3 linked regions of the Schizosaccharomyces pombe genome follow. The gene in region 1 interacts genetically with each later gene. Each region holds a gene or a part of one and is shown on either strand. Other genes may lie near its edges.

Region 1 (3,792 bases):
ATTTTACAATAAATGCTTTATAAAAATACACTGGACGAAATTTAGGAAAACTAAAGTGAACAATTGCCCACACAAAATCTCATTGACAAAATTGATCGATTAACATTAAATATCAAATTCTAGCAGGCTACCTTGAATCAATAAACTACCAATCGTACTTAAATTTCCAATGATAAATGTATTCTTTGCTTACTGCTCTAACAAGCAGCACTTTATTTGATTGAATGCCAAATAGCAGTAGGGAAAAAGAGTGTATTGTAGGTATATCGTAGTCTTTAAAATTAAACCCTTGCATCAAATATTTGTCTTTGAGTATAACCCTGTATAAAACAAGTTATATTTCTTATTCTATTTCCTATCCTTCTAATTTTCTTTGTGTATACCTTAAAAGACTATGAACTAGTACTGAGTTATCCATATTGTCGCTCAGAGTAATGGAAATAGTAACATTCATTACGCTTAGATACCCAAGCTTTTATATTCAATCTTGCAAGCAATACAATATTTCTGAACTATCTAAATACTAAAGTTTAAAGAATTATGCAACTATTATTAAATTCAACTTAAAGCTTTGGGCAGACATATTTTGTTTCGCCGGATAATTCTTCGTTTTGATTACTCAGTAAGAACTAGATTATACTTTTGTTGAACCGTTGTCATTCATGAACCAATCTCATTAGAAGCATACAAGTGACGAAAATCAAATGTATTAAAGAAATGCATAATATTTTTTCAACCAATACTTATAACAAGACATCGCTTAAATAATAATACAGATTGAAAATTCAATTACTCGTAGGCGTTACCGATAAGGAAATAAAAAGGGGAACATAAGCTACTTGAATTGAGATAATCAAATTTACTATTTTGACCATGTAGAAAATGATATTCATGAAGATATTAATGCCGAAAAATCTTCATACAAGTAATTGAATGCTTATGTTTCCTCATTATACAAAGGACATATCCATTGACATAAAAATGTGCGGTCAACCACTGAAGAGATAGTCTATGCTTGTAACTTCTAAAATTGGAACGACGAGTACAAGCGAAGACCTCTCATTATGCTTTTAAGTATCCTTTTTAACTTGAAATCATCTAGAAAATATTTAATATTAATCCATAAGCATAACAAACATTTCGTAAAATCATAATTAGTGAACCTAGCGCGAATCGACGTTTTCTAAATTTAACAGTATAACTAAAATAATCTGTCGACAAAAAATTGAATCCCGGATAATTTTAGGCATTAGGAGATTTCCTCTCTAAAGCAGCTACCTCAAGTTGTAAAGCCCACAGCTCATCTTGGAGTATTTTAACCCGCTTATCTTTCTCCTGATTCAACTCAGTTTGTAGTGAAAGCTGTTTTTCTAAGAGTGTGTTTTTTTGGGATTGCTGTTTGAACAGCAGCTGCAGCTTTTGCAAATTCCTTTGATATAAATCACAATTCCTTTTCAATTGCCGAAATTCTTCTAGGTTTATTACGTTCTCGTCATTATTCTCACTAGCAATGGTGTTCAGAGAATCGCTTGACGCAGTCCTTTGGGTGACTTTCTCTTCACTCACAAACTCTTTGTGAAAACTGAATTCCAAAAGTTCTGAATATGGTTCTATGACATCGTAATACGCTTTCTCAGCAGCATCCCTATCTTGTATTTTTTTAATTAACTCCATTTAACACCAGTTAGATAGGAGACTGCGTGATATTCTCTTGAAGACAACACAAACAAAATATGGTAGCAACTTACTCAATACGAGACGAGATGAAAGAACTGGAAAAATTGACTACTAAATCTTGAAAAAATAAAATTTAAATAAAAACTTAGATTCCTACCAATGTATTAATAAATCATTACTGTTTTCGACAAGCATATAAGAAAGTTGTCAGTATACATCGGATTGCCTATGTAGTAATTATTTAAATAGTGAAGTTTACCATATTTCTTTTGATCAAAATACCCAAGCATGATGAAGTTCGTTATACTCATGACGTGAAAGGCATATGAAGGGTAGACTCACAAGCCTTGATACTCGCAGAGCAAACACCAAGGGAACGTGCGCAACTATTTCCGTTTCAAAGAAAGAAGTAATTTATAAATTTATTTTTTTTTGCAGATCTCAAAAGGATTCTTGGTTCAATTAGGACTATTGGCCTTCAATAATATATCGAATTATCTCGTTTTTACGCTGTAAATATGGCCGGCAAAAAGAAGCATTTGCTGAAAGTTATTATTTTAGGAGAAAGCGGTGTTGGAAAGACTTCTATCATGAATCAGGTATGTTTTTTGAAATATGTTAATGTTATGACTGTCATGTTTGAAATGAAAGTTATTGACCAAATCTGTTTAGTATGTGAATCGAAAGTTTAGCAAAGATTATAAAGCAACCATAGGAGCGGATTTTCTTACCAAAGAAGTTCTGGTCGATGACAAAGTCGTTACATTACAGCTCTGGGATACCGCTGGTCAAGAGCGGTTCCAGAGTTTGGGGGTTGCGTTTTATCGAGGCGCAGATTGCTGTGTCCTCGTTTATGATGTTAATAACAGCAAGTCCTTTGAAACTTTAGATAGCTGGCGCGACGAATTTTTGATTCAAGCATCACCGAGCAATCCAGAGACATTTCCCTTTATCTTGCTTGGAAACAAGGTCGACGTGGAAGAACAAAAGAGGATGGTATGTGTCTAAAGTATTGAATTTTTAATACAAAGCTGAGAATTTCTTGCTAATAATTTCAGGTTTCAAAATCAAAAGCATTGGCCTTTTGCCAAGCTAGAGGAGAAATTCCCTATTTCGAGACAAGTGCTAAAGAAGCTATCAATGTTCAAGAAGCATTCGAAACAGTGGCTAAGTTAGCTCTGGAGAACATGGATTCTGACGATATTGCGGCAGACTTTACAGATCCTATTCATTTAGATATGGAGAGTCAAAAAACTTCATGTTACTGTTAAACCCTATTCTTCTTAAAGCTACTTAATTAAGGACATTTCTTTGTATGGGTTTTTTCTTATTTGCATGATTGGTGTCTTATGATAGTCTTTGCCTTTTCTCTTATTTCCATTTTCTTCCCATTTATGTTGCTCTTCATTTAAGTGTTGAGAGCATAGAAACCGTTAAAGTATTTAGATCGGCCTTTTATTCGCAAAATGATTAACTAAGTCCGTGCACCTCTGGTACGACGTGTCTGCCTTTTATGTTATTTTTGCTTATGCCGTTAGCTTTCATTGATGCTCTATTATTTATCTGAAACTAGCTTGATCTAGCAAAATGAATTCTATTTATATCAACCTTTTAACATTAAAAACATTTGTAGAAATATGGTTGAAAAGAATATTCAAAGTTAGTGGCATCAGAAGATGTGGTTGTATTTAGTCAATTAAAATCCATAACTTGGAATTTAGCAATTAAGAATGGTTCTTTGGCTTGAACAAAATAAACAAAGCAAAAAATCCCAATTTGGCGCTTTAATCATCGTATAGTTTGAAAACGTAAGAGAAACTGAAATTGCGTACAGCTTATATAAGTTTGTTATAGATTCATCCTCCCTACCACCATTACTACTTTAAGGTGAGATTACTCGATTTACTAGAAAAGCTTCTTAAATGGACCTAATTTTATAATTATTTATTTTTGTGAATGATTTGATGAGAAGTATTTTTTTTAGTTTCTTCCAGTTCACTTTATAAATGCAATTTACAGTCTATCCATAATTTATCTTACTTGTTTTCCTTTCTTATTAATTATATCATTATTTATAAATTTTATAGAAAAAAATGGTGCTTCAGGCTATTGGGA
Region 2 (3,841 bases), 1.2 Mb from region 1:
ATAAATTTAAAATAATAATAACAATAATAATATTTCTTTTTTTTATTTTCTTTATTTCTTTTTTTTTTTAATTTAATTTTGCTTTTTATTCTTTTTTTCTTGTTCAATTTAGGTACTTTTCTTTCCTTGTCTTGTTCATCTTTTATTTTCTTTTACTGTATTCTAAGGCACTCCTTTAATAAAAGGTACTTGGTAGCGATTCCTCTTCTCCTTCTCACAAACCTTTATTAGCGACATCTACCGCACTACCAACCTCTCGACATCAACTTGACCCTTCGCTTCTCTATTCCGTCCCACCCTCCCTCGCTTTTTACAAACCTTCTTACTTAGCGATACACCTTAATTCGAGCTTCTTTCACAAAAGTCCATATCAAGTCGTTCGTCTCCCTTTTCACTTCTATAACCCCAGTCTTTACTCTCTCGTGTAATTTTTTTTCTCCTACTCTTACTCTTCTACTTTTACTACTACTCTTCTTTTTTCTCTATTTTCCTACACTTCCCTCTCTCTCTCTCTCTCTCTCTCTCTCTCTCATCCTCTTCATATCTATCTTTCATTAAATTTCCTACATCTTACTTCTTCTTCTCTCTCTTTTCCCTCCTTTTTCTCTTCCCCCCCCCCCTCAACTACCATCCATCGCCATCAAGTTCGTATTTGTCGCAATCCAGTCATGCACTTGTCGACTAATCCCATGGAAATACGGTGTTGCATACTTTGAATAGATCGCATAGTGGTGATCAAACGGATTTTCTAGACATTTCAACAGTAGATGCACATACGAAACTAAACTCATATAATCATATCCCGTAATTTGAGGCAACGTATTGCTCCAGTTTTCCTCTTGCAATATAGATTGGCCGGTGTAGGCGCATGTCGCTACCAATTGACTCGCCCTTAGACTTGAAAATCTTTGTTCCACTAGCGATACTTCAAGAAAATATTTTATCATTATTCGCAGCTGCGACTCCCATTTGTTGACAATCGTCAATAGCCTCAAAAACGATACTGGCCCCGGCCACCCAAGTTGATATTGAAGAACCATAAGCATATACTTTTCCATTCCGCAAATATCTTCTCCTATCCATTCTCCCTCCAACACTATTTCCAAATCTTTCACTGTAGGAGGATGGATCTCTTCATACTTGCAAGCAATAAACAGCGCCGTTGCGCCGCAAAGTTTCATTTTCGATGCTGGCACATTTTGTAGAGATAGAAATCTATCCAATACATTGATCGATAGGAATAAGGATTCTGGAAGCAGGTTTATACATGTATGCACCCCCACAATCCAATTGATCACACTAGCCCTCATCTCTGTAACATAATATGGTTGAGCCGACATATGTCGGTAATCAGGCATAAATCGAATCTAAAAAATGTTAATAAATAAAAACTTCTTCAACTCCTTCATCTTCTTGTTTTCCTTCCCCCTTTTCTTCCCATTTTTTTCATACCTCCAATTTCTCCATGTGCGATAGGATTTCTTTTGCGTATTCCACAGACACCGATTCATCTGCTGAATATCTCATCTGTAATTCCTCCTCTTCATCCTCCTCTGCACAATTGTCATTTGATTCTTCAATCGCTATGCCAAATTCCGAAACACTGCAATTAGGACTTTGAACGTTACTGATCGAGCAAACATCCAAATCTACCAAAAGCTGTTTCTCCGTAAAGACTATCTCTTCCTCTAAAGGTGACGCTAAAAAACTATCATAGTCCTTTTGTATTTGCGACTCTTCAATTGAACTAATTCCATGCCAGCTCTGTGACGGAAAATGTTTATCTGATGGGCTACACCCATTTTGAAGGGATATTTCTCGTACCTGTGCGTTCACCCAGCCTTTTACGTTCAATGATTTGGAAACATAATTGCTTATTTCTTGAAGCGCAACTCTTTTGTTGTTAGAGTTCATGTTTGAATTGGTTCTCGTTGCTGAAACGGTCGCTTTAATTGTTTCAACCAAGCTCTTAGGTAGGCAAGTATCAGTCAATACAATTGCTTTTACTCTTTAATGATTGGGAATCAAATCAAACCGTTTTCTTGAACTTTTTGTTGTAAAATGGCAGTATGCTATTAGCAGGTTCTGTTTGTTTACAGTGAGTCAACAAAAAGTTGATGGTGAAAATGTTTGTTTATTTCCCATATACATATACCAACGGTCGTAACCTTAAAGTAAAACACAACCCAAAACTAAACTTTACCTCTACTATATCAGAATTCATGCTGCTTAAAAATTCCAAACAATGCCCGAATTCATGAAATAGGTTTTTGTGTTGATCGAAACGTTATCAAAGTAAAGCAAGGATTTTGATCAAAAACTCTTTTATTATTTGTATTGATGAGTTTTTACAGTCGCTCATCGGTTGTAAACATTCCATTATTTTACCGTTTTCGAATCATTGAAAACTGAACATAAGAAATCTTGCTACAATTAAGCTTTTTTTCTATTAGGTAACCATCAAACAAGCTTAAAAAAAATAATTAATTTACGCCTTCTCGTAAGTTATTATAATCAAACAAATTGAAATGTAATTGAAAAGAATCTCCTATTCTAAGATTTTTCTACAAACTTGCTTCGAAAGTTTCTTCTGCACTTATACAATGCTATAAGGAATATTCCTTTCTTCTAATTTTGATCGATTTTCGCAAAGTAGGATTGCCTGATACAATGTCAAGGATCTGATTTAATTTCCTTAAAAAAAAAAAAAAGAAAGAAAATGAAAACTCAACAACTTTAAATCATATTACAGTTCCCATATTTACTTGATATCCCAAGTTTACTACGACTTAACTTCTACCACTATCCTTTGAGAAGCACATGGATTCGAAGAAATAGCATATGGAAGTTTAAAAGTTAACGGGTCTCCGAAATCCATTCAAAAGTTTAATTCCATAAAAACAATCTAACATGCTAAAATTTCATCGTAATGTGAAGCCTCAATTTGGTGCATTTGCAAGGTATAGTAGTTTGGGAAAACACAACTCTCGTAAACGGGTTGGAATCATCCGCTTAGCATATGGGTTGACAGGAATCGGCTTGGTTGGATTAGCTGGCTTCGCTTGGGCTCAAGATCGTCACGAGAAAACGTATCAGAAGAAAGGCGTTCAGGTGGAGGGACCATGGCAATTTTATGTCCTTACCACTTTACCATTACGAACTCTCTCGCGTTGGTGGGGATATGTTAATCGTATTGAGATTCCTCTATGGATGAGAGTGCCAGCGTTTGGCCTTTATTCTAAAATATTTGGTTGCAACTTGACAGAAGCTGACCCCGATGATGTCCGCCAATACAAAAATCTGGCCGAGTTTTTCACCAGAAAGTTGAAACCTGGAGCGCGCGTAATTGATCCCGATGCCCCAATTGTTATTCCTGCGGATGGGAAAATCTTGAATTATGGTGTTATTGAAGGAGGTCAGCTTGAACAAGTAAAAGGTATAACCTATTCCCTTGATGCACTATTGGGCGATGAGAAGTTAGCTCGTTTGAAGCGCAGCCATGCTATTCCCTCTCCCGATCATATCCCTCACATTCGTCAAGAGGAGTTTGCCAAGTTAAATGGTATACATTACAGTTTACAAGATTTAATGGGTCATGATCATGGTGAACGACCAAGCCATGTCAAAGATGCTAGCGCACAACATATTGATTTGTTAAGCTCAACAAAAGTGGCAGCCAAATCACAGTTTACGTTGTTCGGATCAAGAGAAACGAATTGTTTATACTACGCAGTTATTTACTTGGCACCAGGTGATTACCATCGATTTCATTCGCCGACTGATTGGGTCGTAGAACGAAGAAGGCATTTTTCCGGAGAGCTGTTTAGCGTTTCTCCTTTTA
Region 3 (4,710 bases), 570 kb from region 1:
TACCACATTTTTCGCTAAAGCAGTTAACGTAATGTGTTACTATACATTATATGATAAATCGTAGCTTATTGGGAAGATTGATAGGGTAAACCCCCATTCATAGTCAAATATATTAGATGATACAGTAAACGGAGATAGAATTTCTAGAAAATCATCTTTTTATAAGCCTTAATATGAACATAAATGCAGAAAAACTCCAAGTTAGCAATTCGTAAATATTTAAACTACTGAGAAGTATAACAATAACAATAATAATAATAATAAACAGTGCAATGATGGTTGAACAGGATATACGCCCTGGAGTTTTCGTGTAAGTAAACATTCATGAATCTTTGGATACTTAGTGTTAAGTTCAATTCACTACATCATCTAAAAATAACAAACTATCCTATTAGAAATTTGTTAATGATGATAAAGCGAACGTATACAATTCTTGTATAAAACAAAAAATTTCAACTTAATAAAATAAAGACTTTTTGAAGTAGCGAGTTGTTATATTATATATTAAACGGTAACAAACACAAATTGATTATTTCAATTATTGATTTTGCTGATGATATAAGCAGTGGCATCAAGCTCCTTCTCCCAAAATATTTGTTTGTGAATCAAATCTTCGAGAAACTCCTAGTTAAAACAAATGTAAAAAGTAAAATGATAAATGTACAAATAATAAAAACTTATAAATGGGGTTGTATGAAACATTGTCATCTCTTGCTTGTGAAATTGTTGTTGGCGCTGCTTTTTTAATATTCTGAGAAATTAATTTTGCTCTCAAAATTGCTTATTTAATATTGGCTATCATAAATAATTTTATTATTTATTTATTTTATTTTTTATTTTTTTTACATATTTGTTGTCTGTATACCCATGCTCAATTGTGTCAAATACCCTAATAGGTGCGATTTTTGATGAACAATTGAAGACTTTGTTTTATTTCCCACTATAGAAAATTAACACCCGGTAGTTTTGAAGGCTTTACTTATTTTAGCGACTGTGTGCTCTAATTAATTACAAGCTCGATTCGTGAAAACTTCCTTTTTGCCACGCAGACTTTTAATTCCGAAATTTACACAGCCGAGAAGCTGCCTACAGTAAACGAAGTAATAATAAATGGGCATTGCTAAAGAATTTTGATGTTTTTGAGAAGTCGCATTCTACAATTTAAATTTTGGTAGAAAATATATTACAGAAAACAGTACCAAGTCAGCTAACTTTTAAGCCGTAACGCGTATTCCCTTTGGTGTTTGTGGTCTGCTAGTTTCTTAATCCAGCATTCAAAAACAAGGTAATTTAAGGTCTAGAAACATTATTTGTGACTTACAGATCCGACATTTAAAATGGCAAAACAGTATCTCGACTAGTTGGTTAAACAAATTTTAGCCTCAAGAATGTAGGACCCTTCTTATAATTTTGTTAAAGGAAAAATTCAAAAAACATTCATGTTGTCGTGATAGTGTATTCCATGAATAAAAATCACGATTATTTACAGAAAAAAAAAATATTGACATTGTATTTTAACTATACAGTTATTTAATAATATAATTGTAGCCAACCGTAGTAATTGGTGTTATACTTTCACTCCTGCTGATCCTATTTTCCTCGAATTTTCCTAGTGGACGATGATATATTGTGCTTTAAGAACCGCAACGAACTCGTAATTTTAGTTTTACTTTCGGTAGTTTGAAATTCCTTATTCTAATCATATATAATGCATTCTCCCTTGCGGGCAAGCAAGTTCACAACTTTTCGGGTACCTCTGACCCTTGTACAGTCTGTGAATAGCAGTCATTTGCTATTCAAAACGAATATTGTTAGAACAAGAGCTGAATTTCCTCTTTTCATAGACTAGAAGAAGTTTACTTTAACCGGTAGGTAGAGAAATTTTTCCCCTTTGAATTGTCTTTCGTTCTGAGTCATTATCATTGTGAAATAAGACCGATTTTAGAAACAATTATTTTCGTTTTCTTCTTTAATTCTTCGTTTTTCACTCGTTCCTTAAAAACCACTTTGGTGTGAGGAACTTCAATTATTTAGATTGCCTTTAGCTTAAAGCAGGTTTATGGTCTCATTGAATATTCTAGTATTCTATACTATTGTTGATTTGTTGAGAAGTACGGACTTGTTTCGATTCCGAAATCTACATCCGTAATTCGAGATTTCTAACCAAGCCTGTTGTTCGGAATCCGTTATAGCTGTTGGTTTGAAACCATTCCAAAAAACAACACATTCTATTTTCTGAATTTCCTTTATTCATACTCTAGAGATTCTGTTAATTAAAAACTGATATACTCCTAGTTGTTTTATTATCGTTTCGTTTTTTCTGATACGATAATTTAACGGCTATCCTTTTTGATTATCCAAGAGCATCAAAACAGAGGCTTTGCATCCTTTTGTTTGTTCTGTTTTTTTTTTTTTTTTGCTCTTATATTTTTGCAACCGAACTTCAAGGGTTACAAATTTTAACCTGAAGAAGGATTTTCTATTTTGCATCTTCAATCGTTTAATCGGCTGACCTATTTATTCTAAATTCCTTACAAAAATCCTTTTTACCTTGAATGTCACACCTTTAAATATTGAAAAGATTACGGAGTTGTTTTTATTATTATTATTATTATTATCATCATTTTCGTTGTTAATTTTAATCTTTTCCTTCGATATTCTGTTTTTGGCTTTTTTATTTTACCTTTACTTACCTACGCCTATTTTATCCTATTTCACTTAATTTCCCTGTTTCAGGAGGTTTTTTTATTCGAAAATTATTTCAAAGAGTGCGTCTATCCTTTAATCCTTCCACAATGTCGCGAAAAAACCTCATAAAACTTAATCATGATCCTACTGTCACTTACAGTACCAAAGATGATGCTGATGAATTATTTGATGATCTCTCTTCTTCTCCTCTTCATGAAAATGTTAGTTGGATATCTTGGTTCTGCTCAAGACCAGGTCGTGAATACTTTGTCGAGGTGAAGGAAGATTTTATCGAAGATCTTTTCAATTTAACCGGTCTTAATTTGGCTGTCCCTTTCTATAATGAGGCTTTGGACCTAATTCTCGATCGGACAGCTCCTGACACATTGGAGAATTTTGATATGGACGTAATTGAAACGAGTGCTCAAATATTGTATGGTTTGATCCATCAACGTTATATTATTACCCGGACAGGATTACATCAAATGGCGGAAAAATACAGCATGGGTATTTTTGGTTGCTGTCCTCGTGTAAATTGCTGCTATACTCATGTTTTGCCTGCAGGACTTTCTGATATAGTTGGAAAAATGCCTGTAATGTTATTTTGCCCTAATTGTCTTGATTTGTACGCTCCTTCTAGTTCTCGATACAAAAACATAGATGGCTCTTTTTTTGGTGCTACTTTTCCTCATCTGTTTTTTGAAAGCTATCCTGAACTGAATCCTAAGCGCTCAATCCCTTGTGGTAAAATTTATCAGCCTAGAATTTATGGCTTTAAAGTCAGCGAATTAAGTAAAACAGGACCTCGAATGCAATGGCTTCGTATGTACTTGGAAGATAGTGGTAGCGATTCGGAGTCTGAAAGTGATTAAAAACGATGCTTCATCTTATTTATGCCATAACCTAATGGTTCGTTCCTCTAAGCCTTAATAATACTTTTATTCCTATAAAATATCCTTGAAGTTTCTTTTCCGTCAAATTCAATTATCTAGTTGATGTCTCATTGCTTTGCATATAAGAAAAAACAGAATTTGGTATTTTTTAATATAATGTCCGCGAGGCATTTGAATTAGTAAATTCACACTAAAGAGCTTGATGAACTTCCAAAGGATTTAATATTGGTTACCTTTAAAAGTTGGGTAAAAAAAAGTTCCTTATTTCTTGTTGATTGATAATATACTTTGTTCATCAATTGAAGTAGCAGACTAATCATACATGTAAATTAATACAAGACCAAAAAATAAGGGTGCGCAAGTGTAACCAAAGGTGTGCTTCCTCAATGAATCCGATAATTCTTAACCATTGCATACATACCTTACAACTTAAATACATTTAATTGACAATAATGAAAAAAATTAAATAAAAAAACAAACAAACAAAACTGCTTTTGTATTAGAGAGAAAAATAGATGTTAAGAGAAATCGAAGTTTAGCTAAATACATTTTACATCTTCTTTGCGCGTCTTCTCATTTTGCGTTGACGTTCCCTCTCCATGCGCTTTTTTTGATCAGACTCAGAAAGCTTAGAAATATCGCCAGAGGATTTAACTTTTTTCTTGGCGGCCTTAGCGGCTGAAGCATGAACAACTTGCTCAAAGGCGAGTTTACGGGCAGAGGTAAGTTTCTTCGAAACTTCTGGTCGCCATTGGAATTTTGGACAACTATCAGCTACCAGCAACAAGGAATTAAACAATGCACTTCCCGTAGCATTGCTCAAACCAGAAAGGGATGTGATTTTTTTAATTCTGATTGAAGCTTCGATACGAGGCTTCGTAACATAATCCTTTTCGGTAGCAGGAGGGACTGAAGGTTGATCAGTAACGATGAAATACTCAAGGTTTTCAATACACTCGTTAATTGAAGACATAAACTCGGGAATTTCGAAAATAGCTTGACTACACTCATTGTTCTCAGACATTAAAACATGAGTTTCCGGTAAGTAAGGAGAGGAAGAAATGCGGGTAAAGCTTAAGTCGTAACGTATTTCACGAAGAATGCGCATACAGTCTTTATGAACAATGGC

The links.
Region 2: mutations in atg16 (region 1) and rem1 together harm fitness less than expected from each alone (positive genetic interaction), as found in Schizosaccharomyces pombe (one large-scale study listed by BioGRID).
Region 3: mutations in atg16 (region 1) and ckb2 together harm fitness more than expected from each alone (negative genetic interaction), as found in Schizosaccharomyces pombe (one large-scale study listed by BioGRID).

What each region holds. Positions count from the first base shown.
Region 1 is NC_003423.3:3,146,634-3,150,425, reverse strand, and holds atg16 (protein Atg16), read right to left. Parts: upstream 1,875-3,792; 5' UTR 1,675-1,874; coding exon 1,243-1,674; 3' UTR 770-1,242; downstream 1-769. Other genes in the region: GTPase Ypt7, read left to right, coding at 2,196-2,276, 2,350-2,673, 2,736-2,948; SPOM_SPBC405.03C (transporter), read left to right, coding at 3,771-3,792. UniProt on the Schizosaccharomyces pombe protein: Stabilizes the atg5-atg12 conjugate and mediates the formation of the 350 kDa complex, which is necessary for autophagy.
Region 2 is NC_003423.3:1,952,799-1,956,639, forward strand, and holds rem1 (meiosis specific cyclin Rem1), read right to left. Parts: upstream 1,915-3,841; coding exon 1,453-1,914; exon of another isoform or gene 1,368-1,452; coding exon 621-1,367; downstream 1-620. Other genes in the region: phosphatidylserine decarboxylase Psd1, read left to right, coding at 2,911-3,841. UniProt on the Schizosaccharomyces pombe protein: Required for pre-meiotic DNA synthesis and S phase progression. Regulates levels of meiotic intragenic recombination.
Region 3 is NC_003423.3:2,577,167-2,581,876, reverse strand, and holds ckb2 (CK2 family regulatory subunit protein), read left to right. Parts: upstream 1-1,738; 5' UTR 1,739-2,795; coding exon 2,796-3,560; 3' UTR 3,561-4,086; downstream 4,087-4,710. Other genes in the region: SPOM_SPBC2G5.01 (Ca(2+) binding protein), read right to left, coding at 4,132-4,710. UniProt on the Schizosaccharomyces pombe protein: Regulatory subunit of casein kinase II/CK2.